Drosophila melanogaster: one gene and its partners. The protein of the gene in region 1 purifies or fractionates together with the protein of each later gene. This does not show direct contact. Each region holds a gene or a part of one and is shown in the gene's direction. Other genes may lie near its edges. The genes, in order: Fer2LCH, Vajk2, Cpr64Ac and PPO2.

The links.
Region 2: the proteins of Fer2LCH (region 1) and Vajk2 purify together in Drosophila melanogaster (affinity purification with mass spectrometry, with the first as the bait; one large-scale study listed by BioGRID). This does not show direct contact.
Region 3: the proteins of Fer2LCH (region 1) and Cpr64Ac purify together in Drosophila melanogaster (affinity purification with mass spectrometry, with the first as the bait; one large-scale study listed by BioGRID). This does not show direct contact.
Region 4: the proteins of Fer2LCH (region 1) and PPO2 purify together in Drosophila melanogaster (affinity purification with mass spectrometry, with the first as the bait; one large-scale study listed by BioGRID). This does not show direct contact.

What each region holds. Positions count from the first base shown.
Region 1 is NT_033777.3:30,386,142-30,392,052, forward strand, and holds Fer2LCH (ferritin 2 light chain homologue), read left to right. Parts: upstream 1-2,688; 5' UTR 2,689-2,761; intron 2,762-2,997; exon of another isoform or gene 2,998-3,057; 5' UTR 3,058-3,069; coding exon 3,070-3,187; intron 3,188-3,274; coding exon 3,275-3,301; intron 3,302-3,555; coding exon 3,556-4,121; 3' UTR 4,122-4,443; downstream 4,444-5,911. Other genes in the region: Fer1HCH (ferritin 1 heavy chain homologue), read right to left, coding at 1-115, 178-455, 577-687, 962-970, 1,323-1,389. UniProt on the Drosophila melanogaster protein: Stores iron in a soluble, non-toxic, readily available form. Important for iron homeostasis. Iron is taken up in the ferrous form and deposited as ferric hydroxides after oxidation.
Region 2 is NT_033779.5:13,932,059-13,936,376, reverse strand, and holds Vajk2 (Vajk2), read left to right. Parts: upstream 1-1,684; 5' UTR 1,685-1,767; coding exon 1,768-1,779; intron 1,780-2,580; coding exon 2,581-3,381; 3' UTR 3,382-3,818; downstream 3,819-4,318.
Region 3 is NT_037436.4:4,210,563-4,215,524, reverse strand, and holds Cpr64Ac (cuticular protein 64Ac), read left to right. Parts: upstream 1-2,609; 5' UTR 2,610-2,651; coding exon 2,652-2,663; intron 2,664-2,725; coding exon 2,726-3,280; 3' UTR 3,281-3,561; downstream 3,562-4,962. Other genes in the region: Cpr64Ad (cuticular protein 64Ad), read right to left, coding at 61-75; Cpr64Ab (cuticular protein 64Ab), read left to right, coding at 4,053-4,067, 4,177-4,524.
Region 4 is NT_033778.4:9,041,761-9,048,380, reverse strand, and holds PPO2 (prophenoloxidase 2), read left to right. Parts: upstream 1-3,671; 5' UTR 3,672-3,760; coding exon 3,761-4,744; intron 4,745-4,799; coding exon 4,800-4,895; intron 4,896-4,953; coding exon 4,954-5,715; intron 5,716-5,771; coding exon 5,772-5,984; 3' UTR 5,985-6,120; downstream 6,121-6,620. Other genes in the region: CG13743 (uncharacterized protein), read left to right, coding at 44-205, 355-467, 532-723, 1,633-1,875; Ance-4, read left to right, coding at 6,294-6,335, 6,570-6,620. UniProt on the Drosophila melanogaster protein: This is a copper-containing oxidase that functions in the formation of pigments such as melanins and other polyphenolic compounds.

The sequences.
Region 1 (5,911 bases):
GCTTGTTCTCGCAGGTCTGGATCAGCTTGCGGATGGACTTGGTCACCTTGATCTCCAGGTCGAGGGCGTCGGACAGGGCGGCGGCACCATCGGTCCACTCCTGCTTGGCCACAGTCTGTGGGGGATTCGCCAGGATTAGCTGGGCTTTTGGGTTTTCTAGGCGAGTCGTCGACTTACCGGCACATTGATCAGATCGCTGACTCCCTCGGTCAGTTGACCGCGCATGGACAGGTACTCCACCAGCTTGGATCCGTGCTCACGTTCCTCCTTGGCGGCCTTGAAGAAGTGCTCGGCGAATCCAGGGCGGTTGACGGTGTCGCGGGAGAAGTAGGCGCCCATGGCCAAGTACTGGTAGGAGGCGTTGATCTCCTCCTGGATCTGATTGCGCATGCCCTTTATGCAGGCATCCTTCATGTCCACCCAGTCCTTGGTAATCTCAGGAACAGCCAGGGAGCCTGCAATGGGATAAGGTTGGGTTAAGTCGGGGGACCACGATAACAATATATGGCTAGTATTCAGCTTTAAAAAATTTATTTTTGTAATCAGAACTTAGGTAAATTTTAATATTTTAAAAACCTTTGCACTCTTGGTCTTGACCTTCATGGCTTAGGTTTTGTTTTTCTTTTAGTTGATGCTCTTCTCGCTCCCTTTGAAGCTCTCTCACGAAACTCTTGCTTTCTTGCTTGGCTGAGGGGTAGGGCGTTGTTGGTTATTGCATTTAAGAGGGCGTAATTGCATAAACCTTTGAAATTGCGCTTGAAATGCCGCTATTCTAGGGCACAAAAACCGTGTGCAAAACTGTAATGGCCTACTCTCCCACTCTCTCTCTCTGTTTTTGTAACTGCATTGGTAACGTGCGCAGCTCTCGCCGCCATAGTAACGGCATTTGTTTTCGTGTAGTGCCGTGTGCAAAAAGCATGGTTCACCATGCTAGCTCACTCGGCCCGTAAAAGCCGTGTGCAAAGAGCGCCTTGAAATGTAACAACAAAAAGTCAAGCTTATTTATACCGCAATATTCATGGAAATGAAAGCGAAATTCGCATTATTTAATTATGAAAATTTATGTATAAAAACTGGTTATCATTTCCCCAAAGCGCAACGGAAGTATCAATAACTTTTAAATCAACTGGTTTGGTAACTTCACTTCATTGACGAAAGAGAGTGAAAGAGCGTCAAAGAGAAACGGCGCATGCTCTTTTCAACGCATTACAAATGTTTTGCTTCTCTTTGCGTATTGCGTCGAAATTTATTGTTTTTTTTCCGATGACCTGCCTTTGTTTTGTTTGAAATTCTGATGAATAAAACGTAACATTAGTACTTACACTTGAAATCTCCATAGGCCTGGGCCACCACGGCCAACAGGAGCAGGCTAGCAATTAGTTTCACCATCTTTGATCGTCGAACGTAGTCTTTACACAAAATCACAGAACAAAAATTTGTTTTTCACTTTAGTTTGATTTGCTTGAAATGCACAAATGAGAATGAGGCGACTCGAGTTGAGCTACAATGTTAAATAGGCGTTGAAATTGAAAATCTAGCTGCCTTTACACACACTGGCGCAGAAGGCGTCGCCTGCTTCAATTTGATGGGCTTGATTGGGATTATTTTCGACTTCTCGAATGCTTTCCAGTACCTTCTGCTGACAGCTTTAATCTGATTTTTCAGTGGAGCTAAGGCCTTTCTACGTTGTGTTTTAGCGAACTCGAAAGCGAACTGTCGCTCCGAACGGCGCACAAAACACTTTTAAGCGCGCGCGCTCTCGGTTTTTCTTCGTGTGTGTGTGAGTGATGGGAGAGTGTGCACTGTTATCTTTTCAACATGTCGCCCGTTCTTTGTTAACCGTTTAAATGGCTGATAATTGAATATTCCCGATAATTGCCGCACTCAATGTGATACACACGTCCTCAATATGGGTATACTTTGTATAAAGTCGGGTTTCCTAGTCAGATAATCCCCACTTACTAAGAAGTAAATTTATCAAATGCAATATGGCCGCTCTTTTGAGATGCGCATCAGCTGTTCTTTGTTTTTGTTTTGGCCGTGGGAGAGCACCACGTCATGTGTTGCCAGGCGGTTTAATTATTGCTGACAATTTAATTCACATTTTGTCAAGTTGATTTGCACGTTCGAAGGGGGGATCAGTCACCCACTTTGATAACTGCTAATATGGCGACGGCTCTTTTTTACGTGTCGCTTGCAGAGCTCCAAGAATGACACTTGATAAGAAGGATACATGGTGGGAAAACTTACAAATTACATAATTTGTTTGTTGATTGGGGAAACCCTACATTATCTCCGAACCCAGCAATAATATGTATTGTAAATAGCAACAGTCTCAAGCTCGATGCTGCTGTGAATTACCAATATATCAAAACTTAAAACATTATCTTAGGAGGTAGATGGTTTATCTGCAGTTTATTTTCAATTCTCATCGTTAGCTGATAAAACTCTCAGGAAACCACTTGAAATCCAAAGTGCAGCGTCCATATTTTGCACACGCTGACAACCCTGTCGTGAGTCACCTTCCAGCAGGCGCAGCAACAACAGCACTGGCAGCGGCCATATTTGAATGACACCGAAATCCCGCACTGAGCGCAAAACAACACATGCCCATGCACGCTCTCCAAAACCACACACACACAGCCATATCGATCGCATAGAAAGAGACGTACGCGACGCTATAAACAGCAGTTGATTTTCAGAGTTTCACCAAGAAGCACATAAAGCGATTGAATTATTAATAAAAGCACAGGCACTGGAAGTGAGTTTTAATATTACTAACTAACTACTTTGTGAGTGTTTAGTTACGAAAACTAGAAAATAATATTCTGGAAACTGTGTTTTTAAACCGACCACCATATAAATTTAAAAACCAAAACATTCCATTGGTGGTGGTTTTGTTGTTAAAAAAGAGCACAGAAAATTCAAGAAAACGCTACGACGCAAAACGAAAAAACTCGCCCAAAATGAAAACAAAAGTGTCTGTTTTCCAATTGTCAATTGTTGTGAAACTAATTTCCTTTGTTTTCGCCTCTCGAATTTGATTTTAATTTACAGTAAACCGTCGACATGAAATTTTTCGTTGCACTCGCTCTCTTTGCGTGCCTCGGCTCTCTTGCCTTGGCCAAGGATGATGAATATTGCCAGAACACTGTAATCACCGCATGCTCTACGTCAGCCTTTTCGGGTGAGTAAAGAGAGCGCCTCTAAGAGAGAGTGGCTAATCTGTGTTGTTGCTTTTTGTATCTTTGTAAAACATAATAATAAAAACAAGCGCTCACGGGCTTTTTCACAGGCAAGAGTAAGTGAAATATAGATTGGATGTATTTCTGCACTATCTCAGATTTCGTGAAAATGAACACTTTCCAATTCTTACTGCATTACGGCCCTTACATTATTATTTTAAAGATACAAATACAAATTCAAAATTCTATTGCCTTGTTTAGTATGGCACTACCTAGTTAGGAACCATTAAGACTATGTCATTACTATTGGATGTGCTTCTGCTCTCCTATTCTAAGAGTGTGATCTTTATTATTTGCTTTTTCCCCGTAGCCAACTCCATTTGTAATGCCCGTTTTGCTGGCATTGACCATATTGAGCCCGAGATCCAGTCCTACATCAACGCCAACTTGGCCAAGTCGTACGACTACCTCCTGCTGGCCACCCACTTCAACTCCTACCAGAAGAACCGCCCCGGCTTCCAGAAGCTGTACCAGGGACTCTCGGACCGCTCCTTCGAGGACAGCATTGCCCTGATCAAGCAGGTGACCCGTCGCGGAGGAATCGTTGACTTCAACACCCGCCACGAGTCTTCCGGCTCCGTGAGCACCAAGCGCGGCACTCTTGAGGTCGACGAACTGCACTCCCTGGCTCTGGCTCTGGACACCGAGAAGCAGCTGGCCACCGGAGCCACTCACGTGCACTCCCGTGCCACCCACGCCACCGACGCCGAGAGGGATCCCGAGCTGGCCCACTACTTCGAGGAGAACTTCCTGGGCAAGCAGGCCGAGAGCGTGCGCAAGCTGTCCGGCTATGCCAACGACCTCGCCAAGCTGATGAAGGTCCCCGACCCATCCCTGTCCGTCTACCTGTTCGACGAGTATCTGCAGAAGCAGTAAGGAGTGGAGACCACCTCCTTTTCCTCCTTCTTTTTCTAACACGCTCCTACACTGTCTCCTCAAAATTGCTCTCATAATTCCCTTATAAATTTGTTTCCTTGGATTGTTCATCAATAAATCGCAGTGCAGCAGCAGCATTATCAAAGCAGCCACAAGTGAATAATTTACACCGCGAAATTCACCTTGATTTACCAGCACACCAGATTGTGATAATGTTATCATAAATAAGTTAGCAAGTTCGCCCCAGCAAATGTATCTTTAGTATGTACGTTACCGCTTGAACAAATAATAAACACATCAAAGAACCTAATTATCAACTAGTAAAACAGCAGCATTTTTGCCTCTCTGATAAGGTTTGGGTTTGGGTCGAAATGTATCTGGTCCTCAATGAGGGGCGTCTGTTTGCGTTTTTTCTCCGAGTGCTGCTGATTGCGGGCTGGCTGGCAGTGTACTTTGGATATCATATGGAACAATGAAATATACAAAGTCGAAATGGTATCGGAAACTACTCAGTTCTGCGATCACAACGGGTGTAATGTTCCATAATGTTGTGGTTTCTGATATTCTTAGAATGTGCCTTCAACTAAAAACCATATGTTTATGTACAAGCCATCAACGCTTGTCTAAAAATAAATAAATAAATGAGAATGTAAACCCATGTTGTAAATATCGTAGTATTGTATGCAAACTACGTTACCATTTTAAAATCATCTTTTTGACCATTCAGAGACTGGAATCACTTAGGATCTAGTGGGATCTATCTATCTCAATATCAATTTATTACTTTCTTTCAATTGACAACCTAAATCGATGGTGAAAAGTGAAACCTATCTCTCGCAGTGATCTGTGGGGCTTAAAGGAGCCCGACTATCTAATCAGTGATACACTCCTCCGCCGCTGATACGAAGGGGCCACGTTTGTCATTCCATGCGAGATTCTCTCTGTCGCCTTATCACTGCCTGGTGCACACGGCTTTGCCGCTCCGGAACCGGAGCAGATCCGCCGGGCGCCATCTTGGCCGTCTGCTGACTAAGTCGGAGACTCCACGATGACGTGGATGTCACATTGTTGCGTAAGCCGATGCAATCTCGGATTTTAATTGTCCCCTGAATTTGCATCGCAGTTTCCCTATCTTCCTCTGCTCCCTCCTCACTCTCCTGACCTACAATAATTGTTGTGAATCCCTATTTGTGAATATGAGTTTTTTTTTTATAATCCACATGGAAGCTCTATTAATTCTAGGAAATTCCGTAAGATCCTATAACAGCTGCTCAATTAACGTGTGAAATAGGTAAAAATGTATCTTTAATCACTTTTGAAAGTGGTTTTCTCTAAGCATTTTCTGCGGCATTTGAGTAGCTATTGTACTATGCGACTATGGATCCCAGCCACGCATCGAAGCAATTTATCAATTAGCGACGCCCATTCAATGAGGACTTTGCTCATATCGCCGCACATCCGGAGTACGGATACGGTCCACTAGCACGTGAAATGAACGTCAATTTGCCATTTTAATGCCAGGGGTCAGGGGTCATCAAATCACAGCATCCGTATCTGCGGCATTAGGCGAATCCGTGTAATAACTGCGTGCTCTTATGTAATTAGAATATGACAGCCATAAGAGAAAACTCCATTCGGAATCATAACAGTTAGGACCAAATGGGATTCAAGTTGATGTGGTTTTGGGTTGGAATAGTGCTTGGATCGCTCCGAGTGGGTTCTTCAGTGTCTCCGAGTGCGTGCAGCGGTCATTAAATAATAATCCACTTAATATTAATTGCCCTGATTTG
Region 2 (4,318 bases), on another chromosome or scaffold:
ATGTCCGCGGCGTTATGTCCACAATTAAATTAATGCACATAAAACCAACATGATTTGGTGCCCGTATCTGTTCTCCTTTGTGCGCGTTTTGCGGTCCACTCATTGTTCACACGTTCCATTTACATGGCCATTGGCGAGTATTTCCTCTGCAGCATTAAAATGTCAAATTACCCACACTGCCACAGCATTCAATCAATGCACCCATATCAAGGCTTAAAACGCCGCTCAGCCTGGCCAAAAAGCTGAGAAAAAAAAACCGAAGCAAACAAGAATACGGAGCCAAACACAAATCCGAGATCAAAAGTTCAGTCACGAAGCCACACAGAATCAAGCAGACTATGCGGCGCATGTTTCTTCTGCAGCCAAGCAATTTACATTCAATATGCAACTGCAACTGCAACTGGATTTGTAACCTGAAATTTTCGGAAATGTGTGGCTAATGTGAATTTAACTTATGGCTGTGGAACACTTTGCCCGTTGTGTCTAATTTGATTATGTGACTGAAGTGCTCGCGGTCAGTTATTTATTAATGGCTCAAGGCTTTGGGGCAAAAATTTCCCAACACTAAGGACTAGTCAAAATTATGCATTAGAAAAGTATTTGTGATCTCTTTTTTAATGTATATATTTTTTAATAATTATGAAGGTTTCGTTACCAGCCAAAAATTACTCATTTATTTATGGTCCATAAATTTTAAACTCTTTATGTTCATTTTTAACTTTGTTAATATTTAATTTTTAATTGAATAATTATTATGTTTATAATTAATGTTCTTTTCGAATGTGTTGATTTCCAAAGATTTATGTAAAATGGTAAGAAATACAAGTAGTTTATTTTATTTGTCGTGTTCATTAATGTAATTTTACCTGGGAAACAAACACTAACACTTCATGTATTTATGTGAGATTTTTACAAAAAATATATTAATAAGATATATTTGTACAAAGGGAAAATGATAATATAATAATGGCTACATATAACAATACTAACTGCGCAAAAAGACGTCGGAGGAAGGGCTCCGATCTAAAATTACATAAACTTTCTAAGGACTTTTAAAGCTGTTTACTAAAATTTTAACAATACAAAATTTATCACTTTTCGAATATTCTAGAAACAAACTCTGAGACTCTAAAACTCTAAAGTCGTTGATTAAAATTCATACGTATATGATTAAAAAAGTCTATATTGTTTGAACTGTACAATTAAGAGCGATTCTCCAAAAGAATTGATTGGATCTCTTTGGTAGATTAAGGCAAAATTAAACGAAATTACCCATTTGCTATGTTTGTTATGTTGGCTATTGGCAAGAAACGATTCTTTCTACTAAACTGTGCCCCCAGTTACTTGGTGTCTGAATACTTTCAGTAGTTCCCAAAGATCGCTACAGTTGGAGCTCGAGTGTTCACAGATACGCACTCATACAGGCGCAGATCACACGGACAACATGGACACTGTCCGTGTGAGGCACCCTCTTTCGAAAAAGCTCGCTTGCTGACGCATTTCCTTTGGGCCACGGGCTCACACGGACAGTTGGCCAAGAGAGAGAGGAGCTGTCGAACGGATGGAGAGCGAGCTTTTTCAACACGGCTGCTGCGATCTCGATTCACGTCGACTGCGCAGCCGCGGCTGAAGACAATCCCGCCACAGCATCGGCCATATAAAAGCTCGCTGCGTCTGTGCGAAATTATTCAGTTAACTGTTGCGGGTTGGTTGAGACATACAAGCCCATCTTGATCGCAAAGTGTTGAGGAGCTAACCTAGTGCAAAATGAAATCCATGGTATGTTCGGTCTGAGCTCAGTGTGTTCTCCTTCGAAGTGCTGCTTAGAATAATTGTGTTTCAAAAACTCGGATTCAGTTAAAGTGACTTGCAAAAGAATATATATATATATATTTATGGAACAATGTAGACATATCGGTGTTGCAATTAAAGTATTTTTAAAAAGGTTTTTGCACGACTTCATCAGCTCTTTCAAAAGCAAGGATAGAACGGATATTCTAAAATGTCTCTAGATATGTTACTTTTTTGTGGCATTTTGGTTTACCCAAGTAAATATGAACATGGTTTTAAGAAAGGATTTTTAGAGAGAAAACTAATTGAAATATTTAATTTTTCCATTACCAGTTCTACATTTAAATCTTATTGAAAGAAATCACATTTCATAATTACTAAAATCGAAAAGTGTTAAGGATCATTTTAACCCGAAAAGGATAGGCAGTCCTAGAATATGTTTTTAGCATTTAAAAAAGAAAACAAAAATGTAGATTCGTATTAAAAAGCTTTGAACGCGAAACTACAAAGAGTTGAATTTGCCTTCTTCCAATTTGTATTTTAACCGAATTATTGCGAAAATATCAAGCCACATTAAGTATACGCCGCATGCCCAATATGTCAGGGGGCCTAGGCCACAATTGAACTTGGCTGGTTGCCCAGCCAACTTTCCACCCAACATTGCATAATTGTCATATTCCAAATTATGGAGTAATCGGGCGGAGGTGGAGCCGGAAGCGGCTGCAGTTGCATAACCGCCCGACCAAGCCAATTGGGTTTCTATCGAATTTAACCCACTTGTCATTGCAGCTCATTTTCGGCCTTGTGGCGATGTGCGTGCTGGTGGCCAACGCCAGTGAGGAGGCACCCAAGAAGGCCGTCGAGACCGCCGAGCCCGCCGAGAAGAAGCAGGAGAAGCGCGGCATTGGCCACGGTCTGGGCTACGGATACGGACCATCGGCGGGAGGCGCCATTCTGGGATCCGGCATCGGTGTTGGAGTTCCAGTGGCTCCCGCTGTCGCTGAGCTGCCCACCCAGGTGCACACCAACACCGTGGTGAGGACCGTGCAGGTGCCCTACCAGGTGGAGCGTCACGTTCCCTACCCCGTCGAGAAGACCGTCACCTATCCCGTTAAGGTGCCCGTGCCCCAGCCCTACCCCGTGGAGAAGATCGTCCATGTGCCCGTCAAGCAGATCGTGAAGGTGCCCGTCGAGGTGCCCCAGCCCTACCCCGTCGAGAAGGTGATCCGTGTGCCCGTGAAGATCCCAGTTGATCGTCCCTACACCGTCCATGTCGACAAGCCATACCCCGTGCCCGTGGAGAAGCCCGTGCCATACACCGTCGAGAAGCGTGTGATCCACAAGGTGCCCGTCCATGTGGAGCGTCCAGTGCCCTACAAGGTGGCCGTGCCCGTGCCTGTCCACGTTGAGAGCCACGTCAAGCCCGCCGTGGCCGTCACCCACACCGTTGCCGCTGCTCCTGCCATCATCAGCCACGGCTACTCCGGACACGGAATCTCCGGATACGGAATTTCCGGACACGGAATCTCCTCCTACGGCAGCTCCTCCTACGGCGGCTCCGCCCACGGTGGCTACCTCCACAAAAAGTAGATGAAATCGCAATGCTGTCGAGGGCCAAGCGAGAAGTGAAGTCGGGTGAAGGCGAGCGAACCAACCAACAAGTCGAAAGTATCCAACAGACATTAAGAATCAAGCACCCCTCCCTCTCTTTCCACGCCCAGCAACCGCCAACGTACGACTTACAAATTTAGTTTTAGTTTGTGATACCAACCGAAATTCTGGAAGGATCGGAACCAGGAGAAAATCACACAACTGACGCAATCCATTATAGAAAGCTTGCCAAAACCCATCCGGGGCGTTTGAAAAGTGCCTGTCTCCTGGCATCCAAATCCATCGAGTGTACAGTTCTTTTGTAGACAATCACAGAGAAATAACTGCTGACGAGTTGCTCCTTCGACTTTTTCACGTAAATTTCTTTTCTATGAAATATTTGTACATATTTAAATAATGTAAATAAAACGAAAATTAAAAAAAAAAAACTTAAGACTTGTACTTTCAGAAATACTGGGCTTTCCATTAAAAAAAAAAAAGATAGAAGTTCGATAGGATATTTTTAAGGTATATAGGGTATTTTCACTTAATGAGCCTTTTGTTTAAGCTGAAAGCTTAATTTGTATTGCTGCATTGCTATTTTGGAATAAATACATTTTTTTACAGAAGTTATATATCTGTCAAGTTAAAACGTAGCCATAAAGGACTACATATTATATATTTACATATTATATATTTATATATAATATATATATATATTATATATTTATGGATATTTATTAATTTTTATGAGGGGGTGTGGAGTTACTCTTAAGTGGATTAATACAGCTTATTTTAGTCAAAGGATATTCCCACAACTATGCAATGATTTATTTATTTATTATAAATTTTGGGAATTATTCTGAATTGCATTACAGTGCGTCAAGTAATTGTTCGCAAACAATGTTTTTAAAACTGTAAATTTAGTGAGTAGGCC
Region 3 (4,962 bases), on another chromosome or scaffold:
ATGGAGTCCAGTTTAGTCTCCTGACCTGACGGGTTCACCGAAGCCATCACCAACACTTACCGTCAGAGGATTCATTGTAAGGCTTGGGTGGGGGTTTAGTGCGATTGTCACCGTCGGTTATCGAAAATGAACTGACATACCTTGGACAAAAAAACCACGACTTTTATACCCAGATGCGTTCGCGAAATTTGCATGCGGTGCTCCGTGGAGGGAACTGCGTACCAATTGCGTATGGTAGCCCATTGTCCGAGCTCCTTGCCCCCCGCATCATCACCATCGCCGCTTTTTGGGGCCGCCTCTTCCTACCCAGCATTTGGCTGCGTCTGCGTCTCGGGCTTTGATCCAAATTCGCAGCACGTACTCCAATTTTCAGTCGTCTTGCGGTGGCTACACCAAGTTTTCATTTTTATTTGCCACTGTTTTTGCCTTGTTCGGATCGAAAGTGAATGCGATTTGATTATATTTCGGAGCAGTAGTTTTCGGTAATTGTCATGCAGGTTCCATCCAATGACAGTGCTTTTAATTTTCCTTTACACCAAAAGCGCGAAACTTATAATTAAGTTACCATAATGACGTCGAGTTGACAAGGGTTCAAGCTCAAAAACTTAATATTAATATATCTCTGGGATAAAAAAGTATCTTTAGAGTGTAATGATCCTGATTTTGATGTACTACTTGAATTGGTTGTCTCAAATAAATTGGAAAGTTTCTTATACACCTTATTGGGTATCAATTACTTATGCTAATGAGTTACCACTTATACATAATAAGGGTTTTCACAAGGGGTTCGGTTTCACTTAACAAGGTGAAACTGGGTCAATGTGGCCCAGTAATATCGATTAGACTAATATATATACTATATACCCATATATTACTATTGTAAATCTATTGAAAGATTATCAACATTTGATACATCAATTATATTGATATTATTCTAATAAATGGCCATGCATTTGGTTTATGTTTCCATAAGGAGATTTTTAGTTCCTCCCCTAAACGACTTTGCTGAAAAGGATAAATCTTATTTTAAATTTAACATGCTTTCCTAACAAATATCTTCAGTAACAACAAGAATCTCTGGTCTTTTGGAATTTGCCTAACTCCATGGTTGATTAAAGATTCCCCATCGATTTCGTGCTGTAACTGGTGGCTGGTTTTGAGTTCGTGACTCTTTTCCTAAATGCAACCAACGACCTTGCGACTCGTTGGCTGCGGATTCACCTCGGAGAGACGCTGAGCGATCCGGAGAAGCGGAGAGAGCCCCAAAAGTTGGCACCAAATGGTGGTATTACTCGTCGGGTTGTGGTAGCTGACTAACGGTTGTCGGCGTAGATTGTCGCCACCGGAAACCAGCATGGATATACAGTCGTCCAATTTGGCCAAAGCGAATGGAATGCTCCACTGCCATTTATGCAGTTCCTTGCCCAATCGCTTGACTCTGCTCTGAGATGAGAATTAATTAAAAGTGGATGAAATACTAACCACAGCCACTTAGCTGCCAATTGTGAGCAAGGTCGCCGCGGTTAGAGCTTCCAAATGCCGGCTAAATGCTTTTTGGCCCGATCGAGGCAATTACGGTGGCTAAGTGACCGGGCTCAGCAATGTGGGCGCTGGTCCAGTTGGTCAGGTGGAAATCGGATCGTCGAGGGGTTAATGCGTGTGCCAGTGCGTAATTGCGCCTGCGTCCCGCCCAATTCCATTCCCTCCACCAAGCCGTCGAAACTTGCCATTTTCGTTTTCTAATTAAACGAGTGGCTGCGAACGATTGATCTTGTTTTTATACCCTGCACTTTGGGTGGGCACATTGGACATGTATGTTACTATGAAGATTACTCGCACGTCACGCAAACCAAGCGAAATTTGCTTGCGTTTGGACAACATGGCGTGTGAGTGATAATCGGCATAACTTAACAGCAGGCATTTCAATTACATATTCAAATATTGATTGAAGTATGTTCGCCAAATGAGTGTTTACATATCCAATTGTAATCTTGGTTTCATACATTTTCAGAAAATTGAGAGTAAATACATATTTTCATTAGGTCTTTGATGATATTAAAGATTTTTCTTGAAAGGGTACCTACAATCGCTAAAAAAGCACTGTCACTGTTCTTGTGGCAACTGCAACTGAAACTGCCACAATATGAGGCACTTATTACATCAGACAAATTTTGGCTGGAGAACCTGAGAATGTGCCAAAAAACGGCGAAAAAATGAAACCAGATCGGCCAGCGAGTCAGCGGAAAACGAGTCTGGTGTTGCTGGTAGCTGACTAGCTGGGTATCTTGGAGCGGCGCTCTTGAACGGACTCAAATGGACTTCGGTGAGTGGTGTGCCTCGGCAGCGGCGGCTGCAGTTATTCCATTGAGAAAAGCCAGCACCAATGATGAAATCCGCACCAGAAACACGAAATCCGCCATCAGCGATGAGGTCTGGGGTGCAAGATCGAGATCGAGATCGGGCAGCCACCAAATGAGACGCAATTGTCACTCTGCCCATTAGATTGTCCAGTTTTTTTTTCCGCTGGCAGCTGCCGCCAGTTTCGAATATAAAACTGAAGACCACGCGGAAAATGCATCTCACATTTGAGCTGAGTTCTCGCAGTGCAGACACATCCAAACCAGAGCTCCCTCATTCTCACATCCTTCGCCATGATTGCCCAGGTGAGTTGGCCAAAGGAGTGCAGCTTTTAGTTGGCTCAACTGATCATGGAATTCCTCGCCAGACTCTGTTCGTTTTGGGACTGATCCTGTCCGCCGTTGTGGCCATTCCCATTGATCCCTATGGACTTTCGGCCCCTGGACTCACCTATGCGGCTCCCAAGTTGCTTGCTGCTCCTGCCATTTCCTATGCTGCTCCCAAACTCCTGGCGGCTCCTGCCATCTCGTATGCCGCTCCTGCCATCTCCTATGCTCCCAAGGTCCTGGCTGCCCCCGTCGCTGTGGCCAAGGTGGCTGTTGCCGAGCCCTACGATCCCAATCCGCAGTACAGCTTCTCGTACGGAGTAACCGATCATCACACCGGTGACTCCAAGCAGCAGGAGGAGACCCTGGTCAACGGAGTCGTCCACGGCAGCTACTCCCTGGCCGAACCCGATGGCACTATTCGCAAGGTCACCTACACCGCCGACAAGGTCAACGGATTCAATGCGGTCGTGGAGAAGAAGGGCGTGGCCGCGGTGGCCATTGCCAAGCCAGCTCTTGCCGTCGCCGCCGTTCCCGCCATCACCAAGATTGGATACGCTTCGGCGCCTGGTCTGAGTCTGGGTGGATACCACTAGGCGATGAACCGGTGGACCAAGCGATGACAAACTCCATGGCCTAGTTGTAGGACCGTTGTTAAATAGTTCTAATGCATTTACCCACTTTTCTGTCAGTCAAAACCCGAAACACAAGGACGTGCGTGCTGTTGCCACCCCGCTGTTGACCCACATTCCCAATCTCCGATCGAAGGATCGCCACCATAGACTACGTTTAGGGATACCGTTCTGGGGATCTGGGGAACGGCTATCGGCCACTTAGTGAATTAGTAACTGCATTTACTGAATAAAAGTTTCGGTACAAAAAAAAAGATTGAATGAATTGTTATTAGTTGTTCGATGGAACTGATCGGTTGGAAGTGATATTCGAAAAGTTGAAATATTTCTAGGAATGCTCCACATTCCCCTGCTTAACCCAGTTAAACATTGGGGTAGGTCCCGAGCTTCGAGTTAAAGCTCCCAATCTTAGATTCCGATCACGTAGTGCCAACTATATTTACGGTTATCACAATTCATATTGGTGGGGCTTCAATGGAGGGGAGAATTGTGCAAGTTGGGCCATTGGATGGCACGTCCATGGGGGAAACTTTTTGCAGGTGGACCAGGCACAAAAACGGGCCATTACGTCAGCAAATGGAATCGTTTTTGGCAGCGGTTGCCACACGGCGCATGTTATCGCGGAAATGTGGAGGCCCTTTATAACCCCGATCCAATGGCAATCCAAGACAGTTCCGACAGCATTGTCAAGCACAAAGCACCATTGGAAAACCACTATCCACCAGCAAATCTAGTCATGGCCCTGATCAAGGTGAGTTGAGGGAATCCTGGTCAAGGAATGTGATTGAACATACTACTAGGATCTGCACAAGTGTATATCTTGATCATAAATCAATCAATGCACCTTACTTAACCCACAGATCACCCTCATCTGCTGCGCTCTGATCGCCGCCATCGAGTGCGCCCTGCTCCCAGCTGCTGTTCCAGTGGGAGTGCCCCTCAACACGGAGGTGGATCCACATCCGCAGTACGCGTTCGCCTATAATGTGCAGGATGCCCTTACCGGGGACAGCAAGAGCCAGCAGGAGGTGCGGGATGGAGATGTGGTCAAGGGCTCCTACTCGGTGGTCGATGCCGATGGTTCACTGCGCACCGTCTTCTACACCGCCGATCCCATCAACGGTTTCAATGCGGTGGTGCAGCGAGGACCAGTTCCGGTGGCTGCTCGCCCATTGGTGGCTCCAGTGGCTGCTCCAATCTTGGGCTAACTCCACAATCTTTCAGAGCCTTTAACACTGCTTGTAACCTAGCTTTTACATAACTTATTGTCTGCTCCTTAGTCCGTTGTAAAGTCAGTAATCATTAAACAATAAACTCAATAAGCCAAAGAAATACATGAAATCCTTCAATCATATTCAAGGAAAATCCGCAAGTATTCGCTTCTCAAGGCGTTGATTAACTAAAATTAATCAAAAGCTCTACTAAAATTCCGAAACGAGTTTAAATTTACACCTATACATTTTTATTAATTAGTCAGTTGATTAGACAAGCTCAAGGCCCAAAATGCATACTTGCCTAGTTAATGATAATGAACTAAATTAAAAACACACTTAAAAGTAGTGCAAAATAACAAGATATTCAATGGACATTTTTTCAAGATCAAAATTTGCGTGTTAATTATGATGCAAATATCGTCGTTTTGAACT
Region 4 (6,620 bases), on another chromosome or scaffold:
CTATGTATCTATCTATCTTTTTATTGGACATCCGTCCGTGCAGCTTTCATGTGTCATCACAACACCTTCCTCGTTTATCAATCGATGCGCGACGCGACCATGGAGCGCTGGGAGAAGGTCACCCACATTTCGATTGGATTTGCCTGGACGGTGGCGGCCCTCTTCGGCATCGCCGGCTACTCCACCTTCCGCGCTCTTTCCCAAGGTGAGGGATTGACACAAATTGCATTTAATTGCAGTGACAGGCAATTTGTGGATGTTTCCTGTCTGCTGTTTTCGGCATTTACTATACTTGTAGTATTTACTGCTTACGACCGTTCCAATCCCGATGGGATTCGGCTTTCCTTCTTGCAGGCGACCTGCTGGAGAACTACTGCTGGGATGACGACCTGATGAACTTCTCGCGTGTGCTCTTCTCCATATCGATACTCCTGACCTTCCCCATCGAGTGCTTCGTGTCCCGCGAGGTGAGCATCCGGAATCGCAGAGCCAGTTTAGCAACATACTTTTATTTTGGGCCATTCCCCACAGATTGTGCGCGCCCTCGTCCATCGGTTCGTGCTGAAGGAGCCCATCAGCGAGTTCACCCAGGACAAGGACCCCAGCCTGGAGAAGGGGGCCATTATCGATGAGTACTCGAAAGCCATTACCATGGCCATCGTGTTCAGCGCCTTCGTCATCTCGCCCATGACCGACTGCCTGGGTTCGGTGCTGGAGCTGAATGTGAGTAGGATTTTCCATGTCCCTTATCCATGTTCGCCTAGAAAATGGGTTGGGTACCCTTGACCAAAAGAAGGCGTTTCTATATATATGTAAGAATGGTACCCATCCGATGAAATAAGAAACATTTAAAGTCTTACTTTAAAGTCTTTACTTTTACATTTATTTAAATCATTGCGACCATGTGCACTTGTAATCTTCTTTATACTTTCTTTCAATACTAATATTTTTTACAAGTCCACTTGATGTTTATTTATCCCACTTTATGACTTTGTGGTTTTACCTCAATACACGCGATAACTTAAATCCGCAAACTCAGCTGCTTACTTGTGTTTTAGTTTAATCACAATCAGCAAGAGTTTACCCAAAACCTTTTTTAATGTACAAATTAATCATTTATGTTCCTAGTTTCCGAAAGAACACATTTCTTATCATTTATAATGCTCAGACCATTTATCATCGAGATAACTTCGACTAAGCAATTTGCAAACTTAAAGATTATTTATTACGGTTTTCGTTTGCATTTATTTCCGAGTGAATATTTGGCCTAGATGAAAGAGAATAAATTCCAATTCCCAAAGTCCATATATTCAAGTAGAAAGCTATGCAACAAAGAATCCACCAAATGCTTCATTAAATACATCTGAGACTAATTCCGATTTCACCATTCACATTTGCCAGACCAAAGGGAGAACCGTATGGCCAAGTTTATTATTATCGTCCGTAGCCATTTGCCCCTTGTATTCCAGTCACGGGTATTGGCCACAACGCCAATCCCAAACGGCATCTACAAATTCTGGCCGGAACCCGTCTTTGTATTTGCCATGCAAATTTATGCCCCACCCATCAGCCAGCCCATCAGAACATCAGCCCGTCAGCCCATCAGTACATTCAACAATCCACCCATTTCAGGGTCTCCTGGCGGCCATTCCCCTGGCCTACATCCTGCCCGGCCTGGCCTACATTCAGATGGAGCCGCACGCCCTGCTCAGCCGGGAGAAGCTGCCCGCTCTGGGCCTGGTGGTCTTCGGAGCCCTGGTGACCATCTTGGGGGCGGCGGTGCTCCTGCCGGGTCTAATGGGCGGCGACTGCCGATCGGACATTGTGATGGGTTACTGCCGGCAGGAGTTTCAGAACACCACCTCCTCGAACTAAGTTAACGGAACGGAAGTCAGCCCACGATGTGGGGCGCGCGGGTTGGGATCGCATTTTTATGGTTTGGGTTTTTGGGTTGAAACTTCTGATTTGACCTTCGGTTAATACAGCTGCACCACGTCGCATCGAAAGAAACTTGTACCTGAGTCCCAGACGTTCAAAGTATCTGCGTAAGTAAGTAGTAGGCACAGTGTTGAATTGGATTAGTGGATAGCGGATAGCGGATGTGTGATACGGGCGAACCTCAGTACAAAGGCCAGGCATTCTCTCCGATCGAGTAACCCATGTATATTTGCACCGGATAGTCGTTTAAAGTGTACATTTCGTTGGATCCCCGTTGTTGATGTCGATATTGTTGAAAGTAGTGAAAGTTCCTCGATATATAAGTGTGTGTGTACTCCGTACTCTGTACTTTGAAGCCATCAAGTTGAGCAAGCGATTTGAATTGAATTGAATCGAAAGAAACGAGCAAAGGCAAACTAAACCGAACTAGAACTAGATGTTATCCGTAGCTTTAGCGTAGTCTGAAACTATTTGGGCACCAATATACACATGCAATCCTTAGAGACAACCGACTCCCCAAGTTGAGAAGTGAATCAAAATCGAAAACGAAATCGAACAAGTATTATATGTATGTACCGAGAACTATTTGTAACTATGTATGCCCCGACGTTACCGGATCGTATTCCCCAGTTTTATATGTATGTATATGTATACAAGGGTAGATAAAAATGCGCTTGAACCGAACTAAAATCAAACTACAATATATCCCCATCAACACATCGATTTGAACAACAGTTTTGAGTTGTTAACGGCACTGAATTCTGTTTTGAATTGCATATGTACACCGAACACGATCGAATATTTATATATACAGAAACATAGATATATTTTTGTACAACTCTTGGTTTATACTGCACGATATTATGTAAATACATGTGTATGCATTTTTGGATGTGATTAAAGTCTTTACACTCACACAAAAGCCATCACCTCTTACTTTCTCTTCGGGCTGAGAGATCGGAACCAAGCTGAAGACCCCACAACTCTATATTCTAAGAGCTTAAACACTACATATCATGGCCAAGGAACACGGGACATGCCCAGGGCTTTTCTGAGATACATTTTACAAGATCTAAACAACTAACCAACTGAACCTATCGCTTTTACACAACGAATACGAGAACGGAAACGGAAACAGCAGCATACAATTTCCACAGACTTCCTGTATATACACGCTATATATATGTAGATCCGCTTGTCGTACGATATTGCTCATCTCTTCACTCGCCAAATATCTCGTTGTATCTCTCTTTTTAGCGCTATGCTAAATAAATATATGTATTGTATATCAAAGCAGTAGTAGGGAATTAGGGACGAATTGATCGATTATAGCCGAATTGTAATAACTATTATTGCCGTATTATGCATGTAGCTACATATATATACATACTATTATATTAAATTGTTTAGATGTGATGCTATCTGACCGGAGGATCGTGTGCGTAGAGAAGTTTTGATTTACAACGCAGGCATATCCCAGAGATAACAAAATCCGATTTCATTCCAATAGTATATATGTATAGATAAGCTAAAGCAAAACCAAATGAAATACTCTTGAAATAATAAAACTGCATTTTAGAAATATGCTAAAACAACACTGCGGTTTCCATACTATATCCTTATCGCCGCAATTTGTCGACAATTTCAATTCTCAGGCGTTCTTGTGGTTTTCAAAACCGATACTAGTGCCTTCGAAGTTTTGTATAAAATGTGCAGTTCTTTCGGTGAATAGTCACAGTCGTGAAGTTCCCAGACTTCCAGTCACATTCCCCATTTAGTTTGCTCCGCGATCCAGCAGGTCCTCCCTGACATCCCATTGAAAATGGCCGACAAGAAGAATCTCCTCCTGCTTTTCGACCATCCCACCGAGCCAGTGTTCATGGACAAGGGCAAGAGGGTGACCGTGTTCGATGTGCCCGACTCCTTCCTGACCGACCGCTACCGACCCATCAGCAACGAGGTGCAGAGCCGCGTCGGCGACAAGGTGGAGCAGCGCGTTCCAGTCCGGGAGATCTCCATTCCCGATCTGCGGATCCCCATGTCCCTGGGCCGGGACGAGCAGTTCTCGCTGTTCCTGCCCAAGCACCGCAGGATCGCCGGCCGCCTGATCGATATATTCATGAACATGCGCTCCGTGGACGACCTGCAGAGCGTGGCGGTGTACGCCAGGGATCGGGTCAACCCGGTGCTCTTCAACTACGCCTTGTCGGTGGCGCTGCTCCATCGTCCGGACACCCAGGGCCTGGATCTGCCATCCTTCTCGCAGACTTTCCCCGACCGCTTCATCGACTCGCAGGTGATCCGCAAGATGCGGGAGGAGTCTTTTGTGGTGCAGCCCGGTTCCCGGATGCCCATCACCATTCCCAGGGACTACACCGCCTCCGATCTGGATCCCGAGCACCGGCTGTGGTACTTCCGCGAGGATCTGGGCATCAACCTTCACCACTGGCATTGGCATCTGGTCTACCCCTTCGAGGCCTCCGACCGCAGCATAGTGGCCAAGGATCGTCGTGGCGAGCTCTTCTACTACATGCACCAGCAGGTGATCGCCCGCTACAATGCGGAGCGGTTCAGCAACAACCTGGCCAGGGTTCTGCCCTTCAACAACCTGAGGGATCCCATTGCCGAGGGCTACTTCCCCAAGATGGACTCTCTGGTAGCCAGCCGCGCGTGGCCACCGCGCTTCGAGAGCACCAGGTTGAGCGATCTCAACCGGGAGTCCGACCAGCTGAATGTGGAGATTGGAGATCTGGAGCGTTGGCGTGATCGCATCTACGAGGCCATTCACCAAGGATTTGTCATGGATGTGAGTTGTTGGTGGGTTTTCCATTAACTAAATAACATGCCATATTCCCTTTCAGGAGCGTGGCAACCGGGTGCCATTGGATGAGGCGACGGGCATTGATACCCTCGGCAACATGATTGAATCATCCATTCTGTCGCCCAACCGAGTGCTGGTAATAAGTCCTTACCCTTAGTAAATTATTCTAGGGATTAATCCTATTGCTCCCCTAGTATGGTGACCTGCACAACAACGGACACACCTTCATCTCGTACGCCCACGATCCGACCAGCAAGCACCTGGAGTCCTTTGGCGTGATGGGTGATGTGTCCACGGCCATGCGCGACCCGGTCTTCTACAAGTGGCACTCGTACATCGACCGCATCTTCCAGGAGCACAAGTCGCGCCTGCCCGCCTATACCGAGAACCAACTAAACTACCCGGGCGTCTCGATCGCGGGCATCCAGGTGGACACCAATGGAGGTCGTCCCAATAATCTGACCACCTTCTGGCAGCAGTCGGACGTGGACATGTCCCGTGGCTTCGACTTCCTGCCGCGAGGTAATGTCTTCGCCAGGTTCACCCACCTGCAGCATCTGCCCTTCACCTATACCATCAGTTTGAACAACGATAGTGGTGCCCAGCGTTTCGGCTACGTGCGCATCTTCATGGCGCCGAAGAACGACGAGCGTGGCCAGCCCATGCTGATGCGAGATCAGCGCTCCATGATGATCGAGCTGGACAAGTTCGTGACTTCGCTGAACCCGGGACCCAACACCATCCGCCGCCGCTCCACGGAGTCGAGCGTGACCATTCCGTTCGAGCGCACCTTCCGCAACCTGGATGCCAATCGTCCGGCGGCCGGCACTCCGGAGGAGCTGGAGTTCAACTTCTGCGGCTGCGGCTGGCCCAACCACATGCTGGTGCCAAAGGGTCTGCCCGAGGGACTGCAGTGCGTGCTGTTCATCATGGTGTCGAACTATGAGAACGACAGGGTATGTTAGCTGGCTAGTAAATCAAGGATATTTTTGACAATTATCTCCACCTCCAGATTGACCAGCAATTGGTGGGTCGGTGCAGCGATGCCGCTTCCTACTGTGGCGTCCGTGACCGTCTTTACCCGGATCGCCAGTCCATGGGATTCCCCTTCGACAGGTTGCCCCGCAGCGGAGTCGACCGCCTGGTTAACTTCCTCACGCCCAACATGAGCATCGTGGACGTGAACATCCGCCACGAGAACCGCACCGTGCAGCGCCCAAACTAGACGATCCGCACCTGATTCGCTTTCCCGATTCGCCCTGACCCGATTCCATGACCTCGCCCACTTCTAGATATACAACTCTTAGCAATCTATTGCATCTTTATTGAGCCGCTTAATAAACAAGACATCATGGCATTCCACAATCCCACTTTTGTTCTCAATTATTGTGGCTCGGCCTCCGGGCGAGAATCTCTCGCTGATTAGGCTTATCAGCCGCCCGGGAGAAGCTTTAAATGCCAGCTCCACGGCCGGAGCACCTCAGTTCGAGCAGATCCGGTGTTGAGTGCGAAAGTGAAACCGATTCCCGAGGAGATGGGCCTGCTGCTGCTTCTGGTGCTGATAGCGGGCATTGGCGTAAGCACTGTACCGATTAAATAATCTATGGGTCCACAAAGATCCCACAAAAAGATGTGGTCTTTAGATAACTTTAAATCATAATTTTGCGTGTTTGAAATATGTTTCATTTAGATGCGTGTCAGTTTCTATATAGTTTGAGGATACTTAGAAGACCTAGACTAAACTAAGCCTGTAATAGCAATAATATTGTAAGTGAATTTGCTGCTTTTAATTGATTGTCATTTATTTTAGTGCGCAACTGCAGCAGCCAACATTGACCTGGAGGCCAAGACGTTTGTGAAT